Linked DNA regions of Canis lupus familiaris. The protein of the gene in region 2 interacts with the protein of the main gene of each other region in a biochemical or structural test. Links are inferred from orthologs where the notes say so. Each region holds a gene or a part of one and is shown on either strand. Other genes may lie near its edges. The genes, in order: SERPINA5 and PLAU.

Region 1 (4,360 bases), on a different chromosome or scaffold from region 2:
CCTGCAAAGTGTTAGAGCCGTCAATGTAGCAGGATGCTGCGGAGCAAACACTTCAGCTCAACCTCCGCTCCCTTATTATCACAGATTAACACCGAGCTGATAATTGCCTCAAAAGAAATGCTTTCAGAGAATAGTTGCAGACACCGAGGGAGGTTCCTGCTTGGATGGAGCCCAGAGGCAGTTGCCGCAGGCAGGAGAGAGAGTTCTGGCCTCCTGTGCCTTCAGCTGGCCCGGTGGCCTTGAGCCAGTTCCTTCCTCTCTGCAGGCCTCAGCTTGTTCATAAACAATTCTCCCCACCACTGCCCCTTTGCCCCCCACCAAGCACCAGAGGTCTGGTGGGCCAGAGCCACTTTCTCAGCACCCACCGAGTCTCCCCAGATACCGGGGTCTCCTTGGAGGCGGCCCCAGCCTCATGCCCTCTCCCCTGGGCTGCAGGTTTGGGACCTAGAACTCTCCACTTGGGCTCACTCTCTCTCTCTTACTAAAACCAGTGTTTGAGGACGCCTGGGTGGCTCAGTGGTTGAGCCCCTGCCTTCAGCTCAGGGTGTGATCCTGGGGTCCTGAGATCAACTCTTGCATCAGGCTCAGGCTCCCCGCAGGGAGCCTGCTTCCCCCTCTGCCCGTGTCTCTGCCTCTCTCTGTGTCTCTCGTGAATAAACAAATAAAATCTTAAAAAAAAAGAAACCCAAAACAGTGTTCATTAACAACCTCTTCAATACTCTACAAATATTACTGCATCTACCCATCAAAGGAAGAAACATCATTGAGACCATTTTGCGGATGGGTAAACTGAGGCTGAGCAAAATGGTATATAGCTTGTCTCAGCCAGTGAGTGATGGAGCCGGGATTAAAATCCAGATTCCTGTGACTGGTGTACACACTGCCTCGTTCTTCCTTTCACGGTTCTGAGACAGATACCTTGTTCCCTCTCCCCTGTAGCTAGGTCCTCGTGAGTATCCCCAGGTCTCGCCCAAGCTCATTTATGCTCCTCCACAGCAACACGGAGCTGGTATCTTCACCATCATTGTACAGAGGAGGAAATAGGGGGTCCGAGAGAGTGGAGGCATGAGGGTGCTGGTTTTAGGCTTCCCAGTTTCAAACCCGGACTGTGCCAGTCATCATATTACTAGGCCTCCGGCGGAAAGACACAGCTTTGACAGAGTTTTGTGCCAACTGTGAGCTGGGGCGAGTCTGCTCCAGGCCCTGGGAGCCTGGCCCCTGGGAGATGGGCTCTCAATCAGGAGAGTGGAGCCTGGCCTCGTTGGCCCTCTCCTGGGCCCCCCGATGCCAGTGTTTCTGCAGAGAGGTCCCCGCATGTCCGAGGGAGAAGAGCAGATGGATCCAGCGCATCTGGCACCCCAGGCCAGAGTGACTTGAGCCGGCCGGGCTGGGCAGGGCAGGGCCTGGGCAGGCGCTGAGGAAGTCCTCCCACTAATCCCCACCATCCATGGACTCCAAAACTGCTGCACTTATTCCGAATGCTAGGTCCCAAAGTCCTACCAGGTCAACTTGGAGCTCAGCTGTGGGAGGTGTGTGCCTAAGGAGACCTGTCTGCTCCTCCTCGCTGTTGTCATGCCTTGCCCCTGCCCGGCCCCTCCCCGTGCATTGTTATTCTCTAGGATGGCCCCTGAGCCCCCACAGTGATGGAAGCCCGGGTCCCACGTGCATTTGCAGGTGCCTTCCTGCCTCCCGGCCTCTGTTCCCAACTAGAGCACGAGCTCCTAGCAGAGAGCAACCGAAAAGCAACCGAAAAGGCTCTTGCTGTGAGGTTTGCAGCCAAGGGCTGGTGCTCAGACCCCTTTTTGGAAGAATGAATGAATGAATGAATGAATGAATGAATGAAGTCCTTCTCTATGGCTCAGAGGCTTTAGAACCTGTGCTGGACGCGAAGCCCTCCTGCACCCAGGGCTAACTTGCCAGGTGGCTTGGAACAACTCTCCTCTGCTATTCGGCTTCCATTTCCCTTTTCCTTCCTAAAAACTCATTTCTTGAGATACGAGTGACATACAAAAAGCCCTGGGCCATGTACACCCGTGAAACTACCACCAGCACAAACGAACCCATCGCCTCCCGGCCCCCTCTGCCCACCGCCTTATCCTTCATGCTTCTTGATCCGTGACCAAGGACGCTGGGCAGCAACTGCCCCTCTCCTTAGAAAAACCGAAAAGTATACTTATTTTATGTCCAAGTTTCGCCTATTTAACAAATCGCCACACAGCATCCGGAGCTCGAGCAGCCCCTGAGACCCCTGTAGGTGGCAGCTCCAGCCGGGGCAGCCCTGACTCAGGGAAACAGAGCTGTTCCGTCGTTTCTCCTGATTTCTAAAGGTCCGAGATGGCAGGTGCCGAAAGCCAGACAGAGGAGCACCGCCTGTGGACCAGACTCTGTCCCCTCTACCTTGTCTCGGGGTTTCTCCACCTCGGAGCTGTTCTTTGTCATGGGGGCTCTCCTGTGCCTTGTCAGCGATTTAGGGGCATCCCTGACCTCTACCCACTAGACGCCAGTGCAACTCTGTCCCCAGCTGTGCCCACTACAAATGTCTCCAGATGTTGCCAGATGTGCCGCAGGGATCAAAATCCCTCCTGGGCGAGAGCTACCACATACCGAATCTTCACAGCCACTGTGGGGAAGGTGTAATAATTCGCATCTTACCTAAAAGGACACCAAGGTGCTGCCAATGTAGTGTGTGCCCAAGTTCACAGTTCTGGGGCAGAGGGTGGACTCTGCGGCCTCTGAGGCCCTGGCTCTCTCCCCACCCCCGCGGGAAGTTTTCCTGGTCACTCTGGCGCTGCCCCAAAGCTTCGAAGCCTCTCAAATCCCAGAACCCCAGTATCCTATCAAGCCCCATGCCCTCAAGCCCGTGGGCCCCCTGTCCGTCTTCAATGCCTGTACTTACTCTGTCTCACAGTCAAGCGTGCACACAGTGGAGGTCCCAGTCCCTCACGCTCAGCGAAAACCAGAAGCTGTTGGAAGGAGCATTTGTCACTGACCTGGGCAGAGCCCTGACTCCGCCCCCGCCCCCTTGGCCCTGCCCCGTCCTGTCCTGGAGGGCTTCTTGCCAACGGGTAGGCTGCAGGCACAGCCACCTGAGCTCTGACCTGGGGCCACCCACTCACCAGTCTTACACAGACCCCCGTTGGCCTCCACAGCACGGGGTCCCCAGGGAGGCCACCTGCTGCTGGCATTCCAGACACAGAGAAAGGGACACCCTCTGGCAAGCCTTCCTTTCTCCAGGCTGATTCCTCTGCTCCCACAGCCACTTGGCTCTACATCTGGGGCAGGATCGTGCGAGCCCGAGGTCTCCACACCCCCCAACACTACCGGATTCCCAGGCAGAGCTTACAGGATTCCTTCAATGGTGAGAGTCTAGAGGAAGTCAGAGGGACTGTCACCATGGCTGGATGCAGGGACCATTGGATCCAGTCCCCTTGCTGTGCAAATAACTGAATTGAGGCTCAGAAAGATGAGCGGGACATCAAATTAGGGACAGAATGGTGCCTGGTGCCCAGGTCACCAACTTCAAGGTCAAGGCTTTTTCCTTAGGAAAGGACTGTATCTGGGTTTTCAGTAGGCTCAGCTGGAGCTGAACTGCCCTTTTTGACCTTGACCTTGGGGCTCTGGAACTCAGCCCCGCCATTTCAAGAGCATTTCCAAGATACTGGTGCAGGGTGCTGGCTCAACCCTTGCTTCATTCCCAAGGTCCCCGGGCCCTGGTGTCAGGTGTCCTGCGTGTGGCCAAGACCCAGGGGTGATGTGGGTGAGCTGGGGTGGGGAATTGGCAGAGGAGACAGGGGGCCAGACGTTGCCCAGGGGAAGCGATCTTGGTGTTCAGCAAACAGGGTCCCTCTACTGCCTCTGAGACCAGGAGGAGACTGAGGCCCACCTCAGTCCACAGGTTAACACCATCACTACTGGGCATTGAGCACTTACTTTGTGCTCGCTGCCTCCCAGATGTGCTGGAAGGTGGGTACTAGTATCTCCATCGGATCAGTGAGAAGACAGAAGCAGAGAGAGGTTAGGTAATCAGCCCAAAGGCACACAGCTAATAAGGGGGAGCGTTAGCAAGGGGAAAGCTAGGTCTCTTCCGTCCATTGTCCCATGTGACATAGCAAGAGTCCTTTAAAGAACCTAGAGATTCCTAAACTGTGTTCTGTAGGGTGGAAATCGTATTACATGCCTGTGCTGGGGTGGATAACATGTCCCCCAAAGATAGCCACATCCTAATACCCAGGATCTGTGGATCTTCCCTTATATGACAAAAGGGACTCTGCAGATGTGATTAAGTGAAGAATTTTTGTTTTAAAAGATTTTATTTATTCCTGAGAGACAGAGGGAGAGAGGCAGAGACACAGGCAAAGGG
Region 2 (4,565 bases):
CACGTCAGGCTCCCTGCATGGAGCCTGCTTCTCCCTCTGCCTGTGTCTCTGCCTCTCTCTCTCTCTCATGAATAAGTAAATAAAATCTTTAAAAAAAAAAACAAACAAACACATGTCTGAGGAATATGTGCTTGTGCACGTCTATACAACTATGTGCCCTTGCCCAGGGCAGGAAGGGCGGGTGGAGTCCTTTACACATGGTTTGTCTTCCTGGAGGCCAATCTGGTTTGATAAGCAATCATTTTTTATCTTACTAGAAGCAAGGCTTTATGATGAAGTCTGGAATACTAAGTACATATGTGGTTTTTTTTTTTAAAGATTTTATTTATTTATTCATGAGAGACACACAGAGAGAGGCAGAGACACAGGTAGAGGGAGAAGCAGGCTCCATGATGGGAGCTGGATGCGGAACTCGATCCCAGGACTCCAGGATCACACCCTGGTCTGAAGGCAGGTGCTAAACCGCTGAGCCACGCAGGGATCCCCAATACATATGTGTTTTTTAAAAAAATCTGTAATTACGTTTTTGGAATGGGTGATACAAAGGTATGTTTTCAAAAATGTAAACAGCATAAAAGGGCATACAGTGAAAAATAATCTCATTCTTGTCCTCCAATTCCCCAATCCCTCTCCTCAGATGTGAAAACAGAACTTCTTACCCCTCCACAGCTTACTGTCAGGGTTAATGAGGCTTTACTAGTGTCTTTATCAATAAAGTATACTCTGGCCCCAGCAAATAAAAGGATTGTTTGTTATAGGAACTTTTTGAAACATCCATCAATACTTCAATAGAAAGCATTGATAGTTTGTGCCCTTAGACTTTGCTCTCACAATCCGGTATTCCTCATCCAACCCTTATCAAGCCCTCACTTTCAAAGACCACTCTTAAGTCAAACTGCAAGAAAAATCCGACCTTGCCTACAAGCTGCCCCTGCCAGCCACTACCAAAGGCCCTTTCCTTCAGAAGCAATAAACTCGCTTGTCTTATCCACTGGTTGGATTGATGAATTTTGGGAAGCTCCTATTTGACAGACACATCCCCTGTTAGCAAGACTCACCGAGTCCGTGTCACATGCATTTTCTTTCTTTTCAAAGATTTTATTTTTAAGTGACCTCTTACAGCGACCTGGGGCTGCAACTGGCAACGCAGAGATGAAGAGTCCCACGCTCCCCGCACTGAGCCAGCCAGGTGCCCCTGTCACCTGCATTTTCACGTGGAGAAAGAGACTTAGCTCTAGGAGCCGCGCACTAGGTCCCTATACCCCGGGGTCCCGGTCACTCTCTTAGGCAGTGGGGGGCCGAAGGTGGGAAGACTGGAAAAGAGCTGATTTAGGGGATCTGGGAAGAGACAGCAGAGCCGGACGGAGGAGAGTCTCGCTAGTGCAGTTCGGGGCGCTCTCGGCCTGGGGTGGAGCCGGGGCCAGGTGAACGGGAGGAGGGGCCGAGGGAGTTAGATGCCCCTCGATCCCTCTGTTCAGACCTCGCTCGTCCCCTGCGCTGGGGGCCGCGCTGCGCCCCGCTCCCAGCCGAGGCCGTGGAAGCCCACGGGTCCAGGTCGCGGCTGTCCCCAGGGAAGCCGAGGGAAGGAAAGGGTTGGGGAGATCCCAGGCTGGGGCGGGGCCAGGGCCGGGGCGGGTCCTGATATAGACAGAGCCCCGCAGCCTGCGAGCGGCACAGCGCGGCCCCCGGAGCCCCAGAGCCTCGCGGACTGTCCGAGCCCCAGCGGGTCCCTCCGTCCCGGCTCCGCGTCCCCCCGCCGCAGCTACCGGTGAGTGCAGGCCGCCCCGACACCCCCCGCCCCAGCCCCGGCCGCGCGGGGTGCCCGGCCCGGCCCCGCCGAGCCTGAGTCAGCGCTGCCCGCGCCGGTGCGCCTCGCCGGGCATCCCCCCGCGGGGAGCCCCGCCCGCGCCCCGGCCCTGCCCGAGCTGCCGGCACCCCCGGCCCGCGTCCTCGCTCCCCCGCGTCCTTCTCAAGTTGACCTCTCCCTCCCGAGCAGAGCCGCCGCCCGGAGCCTCAGCCCCGCCACCATGAGAGCCCTGATGACGTGCCTGCTCCTGGGCGCCCTAGTGGTGAGCGACTCTCGAATTAGCGGCTTTCCCGCTCTGGCTCCCCGCGGCCCGAGGGGGGCGGGGGGCGGCCTAGGGGGCCGGAGTGCCCCGGGTTCCAGCAACCGCGGGGCCGGACCGCGTCAGGGGGAGGAGGACAGATGTGGCCGTGAGCATCCTGACGGCTCAGGGAGTTCCCACTTTGGGGCAAGGGGGGAAGAAGCCCCAGAGACCGCGCCAGCCTCCTTGCCGGCTCTGTGACGCCGGCTTGAGTCCATCCGTTTCTCCCTGCTTGAAACCTATGATCTTGCACTTGAGGGCTAGTTAGATGTGAACAAGGAGAGGACAGAGGGACACGGAGGAAAGGGTGAGATTTGGGATTGGGGCCAGTGTTTCCTCATCTTTGAGGCCCAGGAGCCTGGGACCTTGGATGAACTTCTCCTCGCCTCCATCTCTTCCAGGGCAGCCATGAGTTTCATCCAGTGTCTAGCGCATGTGAGTATCCACCCGTTGCACAATATCTGGCTGCACAGACCACTTGCAGAAGCCTCAGGGGGCGGCCCCTCCCAGACGGCGCTGCAGGCCTGGCTCCCCCCTTGCTGCTCCTGCGCCCCCCCCCCTTGCTTACCCTTCCATCTCTGTGATCTCCAGCAAACTGCAGCTGTCTGAACGGAGGAACGTGCGTGTCCTACAAGTACTTCTCCAACATTCAGCGATGCAACTGCCCAAAGAAATTCCAGGGGGAACACTGTGAGATAGGTATGGGGATCCTGACTCTAACTGGGGAGGAGGGGGCACCAGAGACTTGGGGACAGGGAGGATGGGCAAGGTGCAAGAGCAGGCAGGAGTCAGGAGCTGGAGGTGGAGCAGGGAACATCTTCATCCCTGTGTGATATACACAGTGGAGCATAAACACATGCTGTTTCGTGAATCTGTGGTTGCACAAATGTGCAATGAGGAGGGAAGGAAACCCTTTCTAGTGCTTTCTGCCGGGCCTGAAATCATGTGAGGCCTGATAGGCTCTCTAAAATACCTGTCTGAATTTCCTCTTCTTTCTAATATCTCTCATCCTCCCATTCTTCCTTAGATACATCAAAAACCTGCTACGAGGGGAATGGTCACTCTTACCGCGGGAAGGCCAACACCAACACCAGGGGCCGGCCCTGCCTGGCCTGGAACTCCGCAGCTGTTCTTCTGAAACAGTACCATGCCCTCAGACCTGATGCCCTTCAGCTGGGCCTGGGCAAACACAATTACTGCAGGTGAGGTGGGAGCAGCAAAGAGTCTCTAGCCCCACAGGGACCCTGTTACCATCCCCTATATTTCCGGAGTGCTGTCCATAAGCATGAGAATAGCAAGGCCTCTGGCTGACTTTTCCCTGGAGGGGAAGAAAATGCATTCTGGGTTGGAATGACACTCCCCCCAACCTCTCTGTGTTACCAGGAACCCGGACCACCAGAGAAAGCCGTGGTGCTATGTGCAGGTTGGCCTGATGCAGCTTGTCCAGGAGTGCACGGTGCAGCACTGCTCTTTTGGTGAGTGTCACTGACCTGTTTATGACAGTCAGGTGGAAGGGGACAAACTTATGTGTCCCTTTATCCCATCACAAGAGGGTGGAGGAGGGAGGCCTGCCTGGCCTTGAAAAACTGGGAGGTCAGAGGACAAGACAGGGACACTATCCTACTTGCCTCCCTAAGACATCCTTTTCTTTCTTCTCCAGAAAAAAATCCCCACTCTCCTCCAGAAAAAGCAGAGTTTCAATGTGGCCAGAAGGCTCTGAGGCCTCGCTTTAAGATTATTGGTGGAGAATTCACCACCATCGAGAACCAGCCTTGGTTTGCAGCCATCTACAGGAAGCACCGTGGAGGCTCTGTCACCTATCAGTGTGGTGGCAGCCTCATTAGTCCTTGCTGGGTGGTCAGCGCCACACACTGCTTCATGTAAGTCCCTCCGTCTCTTCTCCCTGACCCTCCTGCCTTACCCCCAAAACATCCCATTCTCCTTCCCAGCAAAGGATTCCACTTAAATTCCACCCCCCTTAAGTCCTCTCCATGCAGTCCATGGCTTTGGGGACAAGTCGTGCTCTGAGGTTGCTGTGGAGGGGAAATGACAAGATCTCATGAGATCAGACTATCTGACAAGTCTCCCCTCCCACAGTAATTCCCAGAAGAAGGATGACTACATTGTCTACCTGGGTCGGTCAAAGCGTATCTCCAAAACATTTGGGGAGATGAAGTTTGAGGTGGAAAAGCTCATCTTGCATGAGGACTATAGTGCTGACAGTCTTGCTCACCACAATGATATTGGTGAGTGGAAAACCCTTTTCTGCCATAAAGATGATGATTGGAGGAAGTGGGGTCCAAGAAGAGAACCAAATGGGAGATTGAGGTTGTTAGGGGGAACTGAAGATCCTGTTTTATATAATAAAGGGACATATGTGAGGGGCCTGCTGCTCCTCTGTAGGAGTCCTTGAATTTCCAAACATTTAGCCTCATCTAGATGTCAATGGCCCCATGTGCG

What was found.
Region 1: the proteins of PLAU (region 2) and SERPINA5 form a complex in vitro, tested with the Homo sapiens proteins (2 studies listed by BioGRID). The link is inferred for Canis lupus familiaris from reciprocal best matches to the Homo sapiens genes PLAU and SERPINA5.

The regions. Positions count from the first base shown.
Region 1 is NC_049229.1:63,891,067-63,895,426, reverse strand, and holds the start of SERPINA5 (plasma serine protease inhibitor), read right to left. Parts: upstream 3,039-4,360; 5' UTR 2,897-3,038; intron 2,768-2,896; exon of another isoform or gene 2,653-2,767; intron 1-2,652. UniProt on the Homo sapiens protein: Heparin-dependent serine protease inhibitor acting in body fluids and secretions. Inactivates serine proteases by binding irreversibly to their serine activation site. Involved in the regulation of intravascular and extravascular proteolytic activities.
Region 2 is NC_049225.1:25,060,228-25,064,792, forward strand, and holds the start of PLAU (urokinase-type plasminogen activator precursor), read left to right. Parts: upstream 1-1,668; 5' UTR 1,669-1,768; intron 1,769-1,996; 5' UTR 1,997-2,027; coding exon 2,028-2,069; intron 2,070-2,506; coding exon 2,507-2,540; intron 2,541-2,673; exon of another isoform or gene 2,674-2,696; coding exon 2,697-2,804; exon of another isoform or gene 2,805-3,132; coding exon 3,133-3,307; exon of another isoform or gene 3,308-3,488; coding exon 3,489-3,580; intron 3,581-3,765; coding exon 3,766-3,985; intron 3,986-4,202; coding exon 4,203-4,351; intron 4,352-4,565. UniProt on the Homo sapiens protein: Specifically cleaves the zymogen plasminogen to form the active enzyme plasmin.